Linked DNA regions of Canis lupus familiaris. The protein of the gene in region 1 interacts with the protein of each later gene in a biochemical or structural test. Links are inferred from orthologs where the notes say so. Each region holds a gene or a part of one and is shown on either strand. Other genes may lie near its edges.

Region 1 (3,744 bases):
AAGTCTGCGTACCCTTTTGGGGAGTTTTCGTATTCCCTAATTTGAAGACTGTAGGCTTACATATGGTGTGGGATTCTTTAATGGCAGTGAGGGTTTGAGGTTCTGGTACTCTGTGGTCCTAGAAAGTGGCAAGATACTCACCACTTGTGGAATGTGACGCAGGGGAGGAGAATCTCCGTGTTAACCGGTGTGACTTCCCCATAAGCTCGTATTTGGACCCAACGTGGCCTCCACGAGTCCTTCCGGCCTCTTTAAAGTTGGGTGAGGTGCGGGTGTGGGCGAGGGGGCGTCAGTCAGTTTCTTGTCTCCCCGTTCTTTTCTCAGCTCTCCCAGAGGAAGAGGAAGAGACCAGTGGAGACTCAAGGTATTTTACAAGTCTCATTTCATCCAACAGCGGCAATTTGCACAGATTCTCCTCAAAGCCCCCGCCCCACATCGCGGTCCTATGGCCCTGGAGCTCCTGGACAAGGCACGGCCTCCAGGTCATCACTGCATGCACCTCGGGCACCCCACCAGAAAGGAACGGAGAACCACCTAGGTCTCACCTGCTGGGTGGGTCATTAGTTCCTTGGAGGCGCTTAAAACGAAGTCAATAACAATAGTAATAATAATAATAACAAATTTGTGTAGCGAATTGTGCTCGTTTGTATGCATGTGTTATGATTTCACTATTGGGAGGTGTGGGCACGGGGAAGTAGAAGTAGCTGCTGGACAGCGGCTGGGGAGCGCGCAGCCTGCAGAAAGGAAAGGGCAGGCGCAGTAGATGAAGCCGCGGAAAGGGTACCTGGCAGGTAGGAAAGCGGCGCCGGAAGGCTGGTCAATGGCCCAGCGGAAGGAAGAGGGTTTTTTTCCCTCTTAGGAGATTCTCGCTCTCCTATGCACCCCTGCACAGTCTTGGAGGGCCCAATTCCTTAGCTGTCCTGTTCCGTCCTCCCCTCCCCTACTTGGAAAGGTGGCTCAGTCCTTCCAGCACGCGACCCGCCGGCGGTTGGGCTGGATGCAGGAAGTTTCTGATTGGTGGAGTCGCAGAAGCACCGGGCGAAAAGAGCTCCGTCGGTGGCGCCCCCGAGTTCGGGCGTAGCCAGTACCGTACGGCAAGATGGCGGCCCCCAGGTACTTTGGGACGTCCTGCGGGGACAAGCCCGCCCTCTACTGGTCATAGGAAAGAGAGCGGCATACTCTGTGGGCGGCACTGGGCGGGGGGGCGGGCCTACCGCCACTTCCTGCCTCAGGGGGGCCGGGCGCCGTACGAAAATATGGCCGCGTCTAGGTGTCCGTAGGCGGAAACTCCGCGACTTCCGGTCCAGAGAAGGGCCTGCGGTGGGTGGGGGAAGGAAGGCGGAGGGAACCCTGCGAGGTTCTGAGATCAGCAGCGAGGGTCGCCTCGAGAGACCGTTTCTGAGGTGGGGGCCGGACCGTGCGGGGAGCGAAGGCAGGGGCGGGAATGTCGAGGGAGAGGTACTGGGGAGTCCCAGGCGCTGAGTCTGAGGTGCAAGCTGTGGTACCTTCCTTCCAATCCCTGAAGGGGAATGGGGCGGCCGGGGGCTGAACTGGGGGAGGGGGACTTGGCGGGAAGCTCATTCGGGGGAAGGGGTCGGATGCGGGGTTGGGATCTGAGAGGAATCCGGAGAGCTCAGTACTGGGCTCACAATCGGTTACAGGTCACAGAGAGAGAATGGGGGAATTCGGGTGGGGTGAGAGGGAGGGGACTTGAGGTGAGATCTCTCCAACCTAACGTCCCGGTTTGAGGAGACCCGTCAGAGGGTGGAATGTGAGAATAATCCCAGGAGGGGAAACGGGAGTGGATTGTTGGGAGAGAACCTCCTTCGCCTCTGAGAGTCTAGGAGTTGGGGGTGATCCTTCAGGATGGGATGAGGGTGTGGATTTGACGTGTTTGAGAGCGAAAGGGGGAAGGCTGGTGAGGTGGTGCTGACGGGGATGTGGTATCTGTGCGAGGGAATGTCGAGGAAATCCAGAGTGCACACGTGCAGGAGGTGGTCGAGAGATTGGAAAAGTCAACTTGGCAAGTATGAGAGATAGTGGGGAAACTGGATCTCGACAGAAGGGGTAGAGCTGGGGGTGGGGACTTAAGGTTTTCAGGTGGTTTCAGGTAGTGAAAGGTCAGAAAAGTGTCTGGTACTAGTGGTTGCTGAAGTTAGGCAGTGAGGACACTGTTGAGCAGGGCTGGGTGTTACTGAAACCCAAGAAGATTGGAAAATGTGTGAGATGAAGGGAGGGGCTATGCTGGAGGGGCTCTTTCTGAGGCCCCATCCCCTTCCAGCAGGAATTCCGAAATCCCCAACACTTCCTTCCTCCGGGGGATTTGATCCCCCATGGCCACCGCTAACAGCATCATCGTGCTGGATGATGATGACGAAGATGAAGCAGCTGCTCAGCCAGGGCCCTCCCACCCACCCCCCAATCCGGCCTCACCCCAGGCAGAAGCCCCTGGCTCCTCCCAGCCCCATGGGGCTGGAGGAAGCAGTAGTTCTGGCGGCAAGAAATGCTACAAGTTGGAGAATGAGAAGCTGTTTGAAGAGGTGAGCTTTAGGGGAGAAGATTCTTGTGCCCCAGGGAGGGGGATGGCTGACTGGCTCTGTAGTCCTTTCTTCCCCACTAATCCCGCCTTGCCTTCTTTCTCTCAACCCCTCCCCTTGTCTCTTCCCCCCTCCCTTCTTCTCCTGAAACCTCCAGTTCCTTGAACTCTGTAAGATGCAGACAGCAGACCACCCTGAGGTGGTCCCATTCCTCTATAACCGGCAGCAGCGTGCCCACTCTCTGTTTTTGGCTTCGGCGGAGTTCTGCAACATCCTCTCTCGGGTCCTATCCCGGGCCCAGAGCCGGCCAGCTAAGCTCTATGTCTACATTAATGAGCTCTGCACTGTTCTCAAGGCCCATTCAGCCAAGAAGAAGCTGAACCTGGCCCCTGCTGCCACCTCTAGTGAACCCTCTGGGAATAACCCTCCCACAGACCCCTCCTCGGACCCCACAAATGCCGAGACCACTGCCTCTGAGGCACCAAGGACCCGTGGTTCCCGGCGGCAGATCCAGCGCTTGGAGCAGCTGCTAGCGCTCTATGTGGCAGAGATCCGGCGGCTGCAGGAAAAAGAGTTGGATCTCTCAGAATTGGACGACCCAGACTCCACATACCTGCAGGAGGCAAGGTTGAAGCGTAAGCTGATCCGCCTCTTTGGGCGGCTTTGTGAGCTCAAAGACTGCTCTTCCCTGACGGGCCGTGTCATAGAGCAGCGCATTCCCTATCGTGGCACCCGCTACCCAGAGGTTAACAGGCGCATTGAGCGGCTCATCAACAAACCAGGGCCAGATACCTTCCCTGACTATGGAGATGTACTGCGGGCTGTGGAGAAGGCAGCTGCTCGGCACAGCCTTGGTCTTCCCCGACAGCAGCTCCAGCTCATGGCTCAGGATGCCTTCCGAGACGTGGGCATCAGGTTACAGGAGCGACGTCACCTTGATCTCATCTACAACTTTGGCTGTCACCTCACAGATGACTACAGGCCAGGTAGGGATTAGTGAGATGCCTACTGGTAACCCTTGTATGTCAGATGTTTGGTGGAGGGAGCATCTCTCTAGTCCCTTCTTCTAGGGTTTGGGCTGAGTACTCTGACTTTATATCTTCTCATGTAGGCATTGACCCTGCACTGTCAGATCCTGCCCTAGCCCGGCGCCTGCGAGAAAACCGGAGCTTGGCTATGAGCCGGCTGGATGAGGTCATCTCCAAAT
Region 2 (3,744 bases), on another chromosome or scaffold:
GAGGCACATATTCAGCCCTTCAGAGCAGGACCTGCGACTACAGGCACGAAGGTGAGGCCCACTGAGTGGGCAGAAGGGATAGGAGGGATGCAGAAGGCATGGACACAGGCAGAGGTGCTCTTGTGCCCCCACTGGCCAGGCACAGCCAGCCTTTCCTGACCTCTTTCTTAGATGGGCTGAGACCTACAGCCTGGACGTCCTAGAGGCAGTAACCCCAGAGCGGCCCCGCTGTGCCTACTGCAGTGCAGATGCCTCCAAACGGTGCTCACGGTGCCAGAATGAATGGTATTGCTGCAGGTGAGGGTATCCTAGGAACTTGGACCCCTAAGCCCCACTTCTATACCCCGCACAAGCACTGCATGCTTACCAGCCCACCTGCCTGCAGGGAGTGCCAAGTCAAGCATTGGAAGAAGCATGGAAAGGCTTGTGTCCTGGCAGCCCAAGGTAACAGAGCCAAGTGAAAGCTGCAGCTGCTGAGGGCCAAGCACCCATGCCCTACAACCCACCCCCAGTGTGCCCTTGAACCTCTCGAAACCTCAGCCAGGGCTCCAGCCTCCCAGGTGGTGAGCAGAGCGAGCGCCGCGAGGTAGTGAGCACAGCGAGCCCAGCAAGCTGCTGACCCATCTTCCCCAGTAAAGGCTGCTCGCTTCCTGCCCTACCCTGCGGGTAGGCTGAGGGTGCTGCCTCAGCAGCTGGAGCGGGAGGCCTGGGCGAGGCAAGACAAGGGCCGGATGTGGGGACCCTGTGCCTCTAGCACAGTAAAGCTAGTCTCTAGAAACAGCCTGTCTCCGAGTGGCCCTTCTTGGTGGTCGTCGTCTTGGGACGGGGGGCGGGGGTGGGGTGCACCCGGATGCAGGAAGAAAAGGAAAGGGAGCGCCGGGACTCTGCGAGATCGCCCCCCGCCCCTACTCCGCCTGCGGGCCGACACAGCCCGGGCACCCGGGTTTGCACTGCGCCGCTCGCCCTGGTTCTCTCGCCGCCCAGCCTAGATCCCGGGGGCGGCGCCGCCTCGCGGCCCGCCCCGCGGCCCCGCCCGCCCCGCGCTCGCTCGCGCCCAAAGCCGGCGGGAGTCCGGGCCCGACCCGGCCATGTCCACCGAACCCGAGCTCATTGAACTGAGGGAACTGGAGCCCGCGCGGCGCGGAGGTCCGGGCCGCAGCCGGCTGGAGCGAGCGAACGCGCTGCGCATCGCACCGGGGACCGCGCGCAATCCGGCACGGCAGCTGGTCGCGGGCCGCGGCCACCACTTCCAACCTGCGGGGCCCGCCACGCACACGTGGTGCGACCTCTGCGGCGACTTCATCTGGGGCGTCGTGCGCAAGGGCCTGCAGTGCGCGCGTGAGTAGCAGCCCCGCGCGCTGGGAGAGCGAAATGCGCGGCCAAGGGGCAGTGCCGTCGCTGCGTGTCAAGTCGCAAAGGAGGGGGTCGGTCGGCAGGGTCGGTTCCTAACTGGCAGTGGGCCAGGTCCACTGCCTTTGCTCCATCGTGTAAGAAAGTGCAGGCAGACAGATGGTTTATAGCCTTGTTCTATACCACCTGCATTGGGCGCACATTTATGCAGAGGCGGATGCCTGTGAATAACTATGAACAAGGTGCTGATTTCAAGCTTTTTATCTTTTAAGTGCCTTGGCTCTTCTTGAGAAGTCTGTATTTCGACCAATCTCTAAGTCCATGTTCCCAAGCCTGCTCTTTCCCAAAGATTCACTCACTGCCCCACCCCCCCAGAATCTCTGGGAGGAGGGGGAATTTACCCACCTATGGAGGCAAGCAGGGAAAAAGTACCTTGGGTGGGTCTTCTACAAGCAAGAATTTAATTGAGCAAATACCTATTGCAGGCCCAGCCAACCAGGTGCTAAAACACAAAACATCACACACCAGCAGTCTTTCTGCCAGCAAGCAGAGGCTGCTGTCCCCCTGGCTATACACCAGCTAGAATTGGTTGGGATTTTACAGCCCTCCAAACCCCTATGCCTGGACTTCAGACCTGTTGAATCCATCACTAGGAATGTATCAGCAATTTACAAAAAAAAAAAAAAAAAAAATCATTTCAGTAGGCAGCCTGGAATTGAGAGCAATTGAGAATCACTCCTCTGGCCCATTTAGGGATTTAGAGAAGGTATCCTAGGCCTATGTAGGTGTAGAGACCCTCTCATCCAGTACAAGAGTCTGTCCTGAACACCAGAGCTGTGACAGAAAACCAAGCATGAGCAAGGGCTGAGACATTGCAGTGATCCCATGGAGAAATAAAGTGACATAGGGATGAAATACAGGACAATGTGTCAGAAGCAAAGAGAAGAGAGGGATCAAGGGTGATTTGGGATTTTTGCCTCAAACAGGGACAGTAGTGATTTTTGCTAAGATGAGAAGCTCTGGGGAGAGGAGAGGGGAGGTGAAAGAAAAGTTGGTTTTGGTCACATTGGGTTGACACAGGCTTTGATCTGAGGAGGGAGGTTAGGGATGGAAGACTTGGATCTGGGGTTGTACACAGAGCAGGGCAATGGCAGTGATCAGGATTGAGTCTCAAACACTCTTGCCCATTAGATCTGGGAGTTGAGGCAGAACCAAAGAAGCTGAGCAGGAGCTGCAGGGCATGGGAGGAAAACCGGGGCAATGGGGGGCCCTGGAAGCCAAGGGGAGCAAGCATCAAACGATGCTGGGGGGCATGGTGAGGATGCAGAAGGGATCTGGCATTGGAACGTGCACAGGTTGCTAAGGACCCTAACCATTATCCTGGAGGGAGGATCAAGCCTGACTGGAATGGGTAAAGGAGAGAGTGAAGATGAGGAATTACACTGTGTATGCAGATAAATGATATGTTTTGGTGTGAGGGATGTAGACAGATGACAGCTAAAGGGGTTAAAGGGTTAAAGATTTGGGGGGTTTGCCCTTCAAGTAAATGCTGGGGGCGGGGGGGGGGGGGCGCTTGACAGTGCGGAAGGGGGATCTCCGTGCTAGAGATCCAGCTATTCAACCGGCCTGGATCCCTAACCGCCTGAGGCCTTCCCGCCAGTTTCCAGACGTCGGGAGACCAACACTAGAATCTGCATAGCAGCGGCAGGGTACCCGGGCCGTAAGACAAGGCGGGTCATGCAAAGCCTGGCGGGCAACCGCCTTCGTCCCGGGGTTTCTCTGCCGTCCCCGGGATGCTTCTCTGAACTGGAGCCGGGGCTCCGCCTCACGGCCAGGCCTCTCTGCAGATTGCAAGTTCACATGCCACTACCGTTGCCGCGCGCTTGTCTGCCTGGACTGCTGCGGGCCCCGGGACCTGGGCTGGGAACCTGCGCTGGAGCGGGACACGAACGTGGTGAGCGCGGGGCAAGGGGTGGCGTACGGAAAAGGTGCGCAGACCAGCCGGCCACACGGCAGGAGTTGCTTAGGGCCGCCCGGTTACGCGCAATGCGCGTTCGAACAGCGGGTTTTCCCGCGGCCGAGAGCGGCTGGAAGGGGTACCAGGGATGCTGACTCCGCGCGGATTGCCCGGAATAGCCGAGGCTCCACGCCCGCGCAATTTCCGCACCTTCCCGCATCCGCATCCGGTCGTGCAGCCACGCTGGTGTACATGCGCAGACGCGCCGACTTGTTCCCCAAAAGAGGTGTGGTCTGCGAGGCGGAGCCGAGCTGGGCTGCCTGGGCTATGAGGTCACTCCTGGAGGCGGGGCGTGTGTGAACCCGCCCCTCGAAGTCCCCCCCCCAATGAGAAGGGAGCCAGATCGTGGCTGTCTACGTCTCGGCGTTAACGGTTGC
Region 3 (3,744 bases), on another chromosome or scaffold:
TCCCTAGTCCGCTCCAAGCTGGAACTGAGCACAGAATTGTACCCAGCGGGTAATACAGTGGTTGGGGTGGTTTGGTGTTTGAAGCCAGGGCCCTTCATCCAGTGAAGCTGCCCGAGGTTGTGCTTCCTACCCTCACCAGCTGGGAGCTGGCATGCTTCCCCTTTAGCCAAGAACTAACTTGCTCTCTCCTCGCTGTCTTCATACCTGCTCGTCGGCTCTCCCCTTCCACTCCCTGCCTGCGCTGCCTCAGACTCACCAACCTTTCCAACTCTCAACCAAGGCATCATCCTGTTCCCCTCAGCTCCACTCACTGTCCTCCTGGTGTCTCAGACTCAGATCCCTCCTCTGCATCCCACAGCCATTGTCCTAGACCAGGTCACCCATCCCAGGTTGCCAGAGTGACTGTCCCAACATGCGTGTTGGGTCATGTTTCTGGGTTCTAATCTCACGCTGTTGCCCACAGAACAAGTGCATCTCCTTAGCCCTGATCCTGCTCATGGGTCCCCTCTTAAATTTGAAAATAATGAAAACCGGTTTCTTTTTAAGATTTTATTTATTTATTCATGAGACATCACACACACACAGAGAGAGGGGCAGAGACACAACACAGGCAGAGGGAGAAGCAGGTTCCATGCAGGGAGCCCGATGTGGGACTCGATCTGGGGTCTCCAGGATCACACCCCGGGCTGAAGGCAGGCGCTAAACCGCTGAGCCACCCGGGCATCCCTGGAAACTGGTTTCTAAACAGACTCTCCTGTTTCAAACCTCCATGCCTTTGCTCGTGCTGTTGCAAGCGTTCCCCATCCCCAAGTTCCTGCACGTCCCAGCTGAGATCTCCTTTCCGGCCTGCCCCTCTGCAGCGTGCAAACCTGTTTGGGTGACTGCTCTCGCTTAGACCTGGGTTCTTCCAAAGCAGGCCCACCTGTGGCTCCTGTCTGTGCCCGGGGTCAAGCCAAGGGCGGCCCGGCCTCCCTCCCGCTAGGCCAGGCCGCGGCCGGGTTACCCCCAGGTCGGCTGAGCATCTTCTCTCCTCCCCTCCTCCCTCCGGCTCGGGGCGTGTCTCCAGACCCCCCCTCCCCGGCCCTAGAACCGCCCCCCGGCTCTGTCTCACTTCCTCCGGGGAGGCGGGCCCTGAGTGGGGCCGTCCCTCCCACGGGCTCCGGCGACCGCGATCCGGTCCCTGCCTCTCGGTTTCGCTTCTCCTCCCCCCTCAGGCTCAAAACCCAGAAGCGAAACTGTGCTGGGATCCATGCAGCAGGAGCCCGCGCCCCCCCGCTCTCCGGCGCCCGGGCAGGACCCCGCACCGTCCGGGGCGCCCAGCATGCCTCCCCCGGAGCCCGCCTCCGAGGGCCACCAGCCCAGCCCCAGCCGCAGCCCCGCGGAGGTACCACTGGGCTTGGGGAGGTGGGGTGGAGGCTTGGTTGATGGCTTCGGGAAAGGGAGGGGACAGCGAGGCCAGGCACCTCCCCAGAGTGACCCAGAGAGAAAGCCAGACACTGGGCCCCGACCCTCGGGGCAGCTGAGAGTGGGAAAGGGTACCAGGGTGAGCTGGGGGGGCCTCGGGGCTGGCATGCCCCACGGACAGGGGGCAAGGTGCTGAGGGCCTGGACTCATCTGCCCACCCTGGCGACTTGCCCCCCTGAGCCTCAGATGAAGGTCCAGGGATTCGGGGGATGGCGGGGTAGCCCTGGGGAGCAGGCCGAGAGCCAGGGGCATGTCCCAAGTGTGGAAAACCAAAAGCCGAGTTCCCAGATCAGGAAGTGGGAACCTGGCCCAGACGAGAGAAGTGTCTTGGCTAAGGCCTCACAGCTCTTGGGGTGGCTTCTCCGCTAGGATACCTACCTCCAAGATCCTTCTGTTGGAACACCCTGTGTGCCCTCCACCCCCGCACCCCCACCCTGGGTCCACAAAGGGTGTACTGGGGCCTCTTCCGGAAGCTTGCCTGGGTCTGCTCCGGGTTTCCTGGGGCCTCTTCCCGGAAGCTTGCCTGGGTCTGCTCGGGACAAGCTCCCCAGCTGCCCTCCTGCCCCAGAGGAGCTACTTCACATCTCATGCAGTGTGTTTTCCCAGGCCCTTCATGAAAGCACCATCCTGCAGTAACTTCTATTCTGTGCATTATTACAACTAGGAATCGTACTACTTCCTTGTGAACATTCCTCGTGGGCCAGTACTTTATTAAGCACTTTTTCCCCCTTTTTTTTTCTAGAAAATATCCATAATATTAAAATTACCATGTTTTTAACATTTTTATTTCTTCTAAGTAATCTCTACGCCCAGCATGGGGCTTGAACTTAACAACCGCAGGATCCAGAGCCTCGTGCTGCGCTCACTGAGCCAGCCAGGTGCCCCAAAAACTTAACGGTTTTTAAGTGTACATTTCAGTGGCATTGAATATATTCACAATGTTGGGTAACCGTCAACCACCATCTATTTCCAGAATTTTTTTCATCACCCTCCACAGAAACTGTACTCCCTAAGCAGTAGCTCCTTATTTACCCGCTTCTCCCAGCTCCTGGTAACCTCCACTCTACTTTTCTGCTGCTGTGGATCTGCCGATGCTAGATATTTCATATAAGTGAGCCATCCAATTATTTGTCCCTTCGTGTTTGTCTTATTTTGCTTAGCCTAATGTTTTCAAGGTTCTCATAGCATGTATGAGAATTTACTTCCTTTTCATTTTATTTTATGTTATTTTTGGTAAAGATCTTATTTTTAAGTAACCTCTACACCCAGTGTGGGGCTTGAACTCACAAACCCAAGATCAAGAGTCACATTCTCCACCAACTGAGCCAGCCAGGCGCCCCTTCCTTCATTTTCTTTTTTAAAGATTTTATTTTATTTATATATTTTTTTAAAGATTTTTTTAAAGATTTTATTTATTTGAGAGAGGCAGAGACGCAGGCAGAGGGAGAAGCAGGCTCCTTGCAGGGAGCCCGATATGGGACTCGATCCAGGGACCCCAGGATCACGCCCTGGGCCAAAGGCAGATGCTCAACTGCTGAGCCACCCAGACGTCCCTCTTCCTTCATTTTTAAAAACTGAATGATACTCCATTGCACGCGTAGACCGGTTTTGTTTATCTGTTCATTTGTTGATGGACACTTGGGTTATTTCTACCTTTTGGAGCCTGTGCATGATGGTGCTGTGGACATGGGTGTAAAGTATCTGTTCAGCTACTTGTCTTCAGTTATTTTGGGAAATCTATCTAGGAATGAAATTGCTGGGTTATATAGTACTCCTGTGTTTAACTTCTTCAGGAGCCACCAAACCATATATATTTTTAAGATTTTATTTATTTATTCATGAGAGACACACACAGAGAGAGAGGCAGAGACATAGGCAGAGGGAGAAGCAGGCTCCATGCAGGGAGCCCAATGCGGGACTCGATCCCAGGACCCCAGGATCACGCCCTGAGCCCCCAGGTGCCCCTCCACCAAACCATATTAAGCACTGTTTATGATTTACATGAGATACGCTTCACGTATCTCCTTTCTAGAGCGAGTCCCTTGAAGGTAGGGATTTATGCTCCCATCCTTGGGTGTCCGGGCCTCGTAGTGCCGTGCTCCCTGCAGAGGATCTGGGGGGGGGCTCCGGGATTTCAGGCCTCACCCCACCTCTCTGGTCCCCCAGCAAGCCCTGGAGGAGGAGTTCCAGTTTCTGTGCTGCCAGAGCTGCCAGGCCGAAGCCAAGTGCCCCAAGCTGCTGCCGTGTCTGCACACGCTCTGCTCGGGATGCCTGGAGGCA

The links.
Region 2: the proteins of DAXX (region 1) and RASSF1 form a complex in vitro, tested with the Homo sapiens proteins (4 studies listed by BioGRID and IntAct, with this or other methods). The link is inferred for Canis lupus familiaris from reciprocal best matches to the Homo sapiens genes DAXX and RASSF1.
Region 3: the proteins of DAXX (region 1) and PML form a complex in vitro, tested with the Homo sapiens proteins (2 studies listed by BioGRID, with this or other methods). The link is inferred for Canis lupus familiaris from reciprocal best matches to the Homo sapiens genes DAXX and PML.

The regions. Positions count from the first base shown.
Region 1 is NC_049233.1:2,912,763-2,916,506, reverse strand, and holds the start of DAXX (death domain-associated protein 6), read left to right. Parts: upstream 1-974; 5' UTR 975-1,113; intron 1,114-1,257; exon of another isoform or gene 1,258-1,403; intron 1,404-1,409; exon of another isoform or gene 1,410-1,489; intron 1,490-2,281; 5' UTR 2,282-2,333; coding exon 2,334-2,540; intron 2,541-2,694; coding exon 2,695-3,523; intron 3,524-3,648; coding exon 3,649-3,744. UniProt on the Homo sapiens protein: Transcription corepressor known to repress transcriptional potential of several sumoylated transcription factors. Down-regulates basal and activated transcription.
Region 2 is NC_049241.1:39,421,190-39,424,933, forward strand, and holds the start of RASSF1 (ras association domain-containing protein 1), read left to right. Parts: upstream 1-1,073; 5' UTR 1,074-1,088; coding exon 1,089-1,338; intron 1,339-3,197; coding exon 3,198-3,304; intron 3,305-3,685; exon of another isoform or gene 3,686-3,744. Other genes in the region: ZMYND10 (zinc finger MYND domain-containing protein 10), read left to right, coding at 1-51, 172-297, 386-461. UniProt on the Homo sapiens protein: Potential tumor suppressor. Required for death receptor-dependent apoptosis. Mediates activation of STK3/MST2 and STK4/MST1 during Fas-induced apoptosis by preventing their dephosphorylation.
Region 3 is NC_049251.1:37,672,333-37,676,076, forward strand, and holds the start of PML (protein PML), read left to right. Parts: upstream 1-1,129; 5' UTR 1,130-1,249; coding exon 1,250-1,384; intron 1,385-3,630; coding exon 3,631-3,744.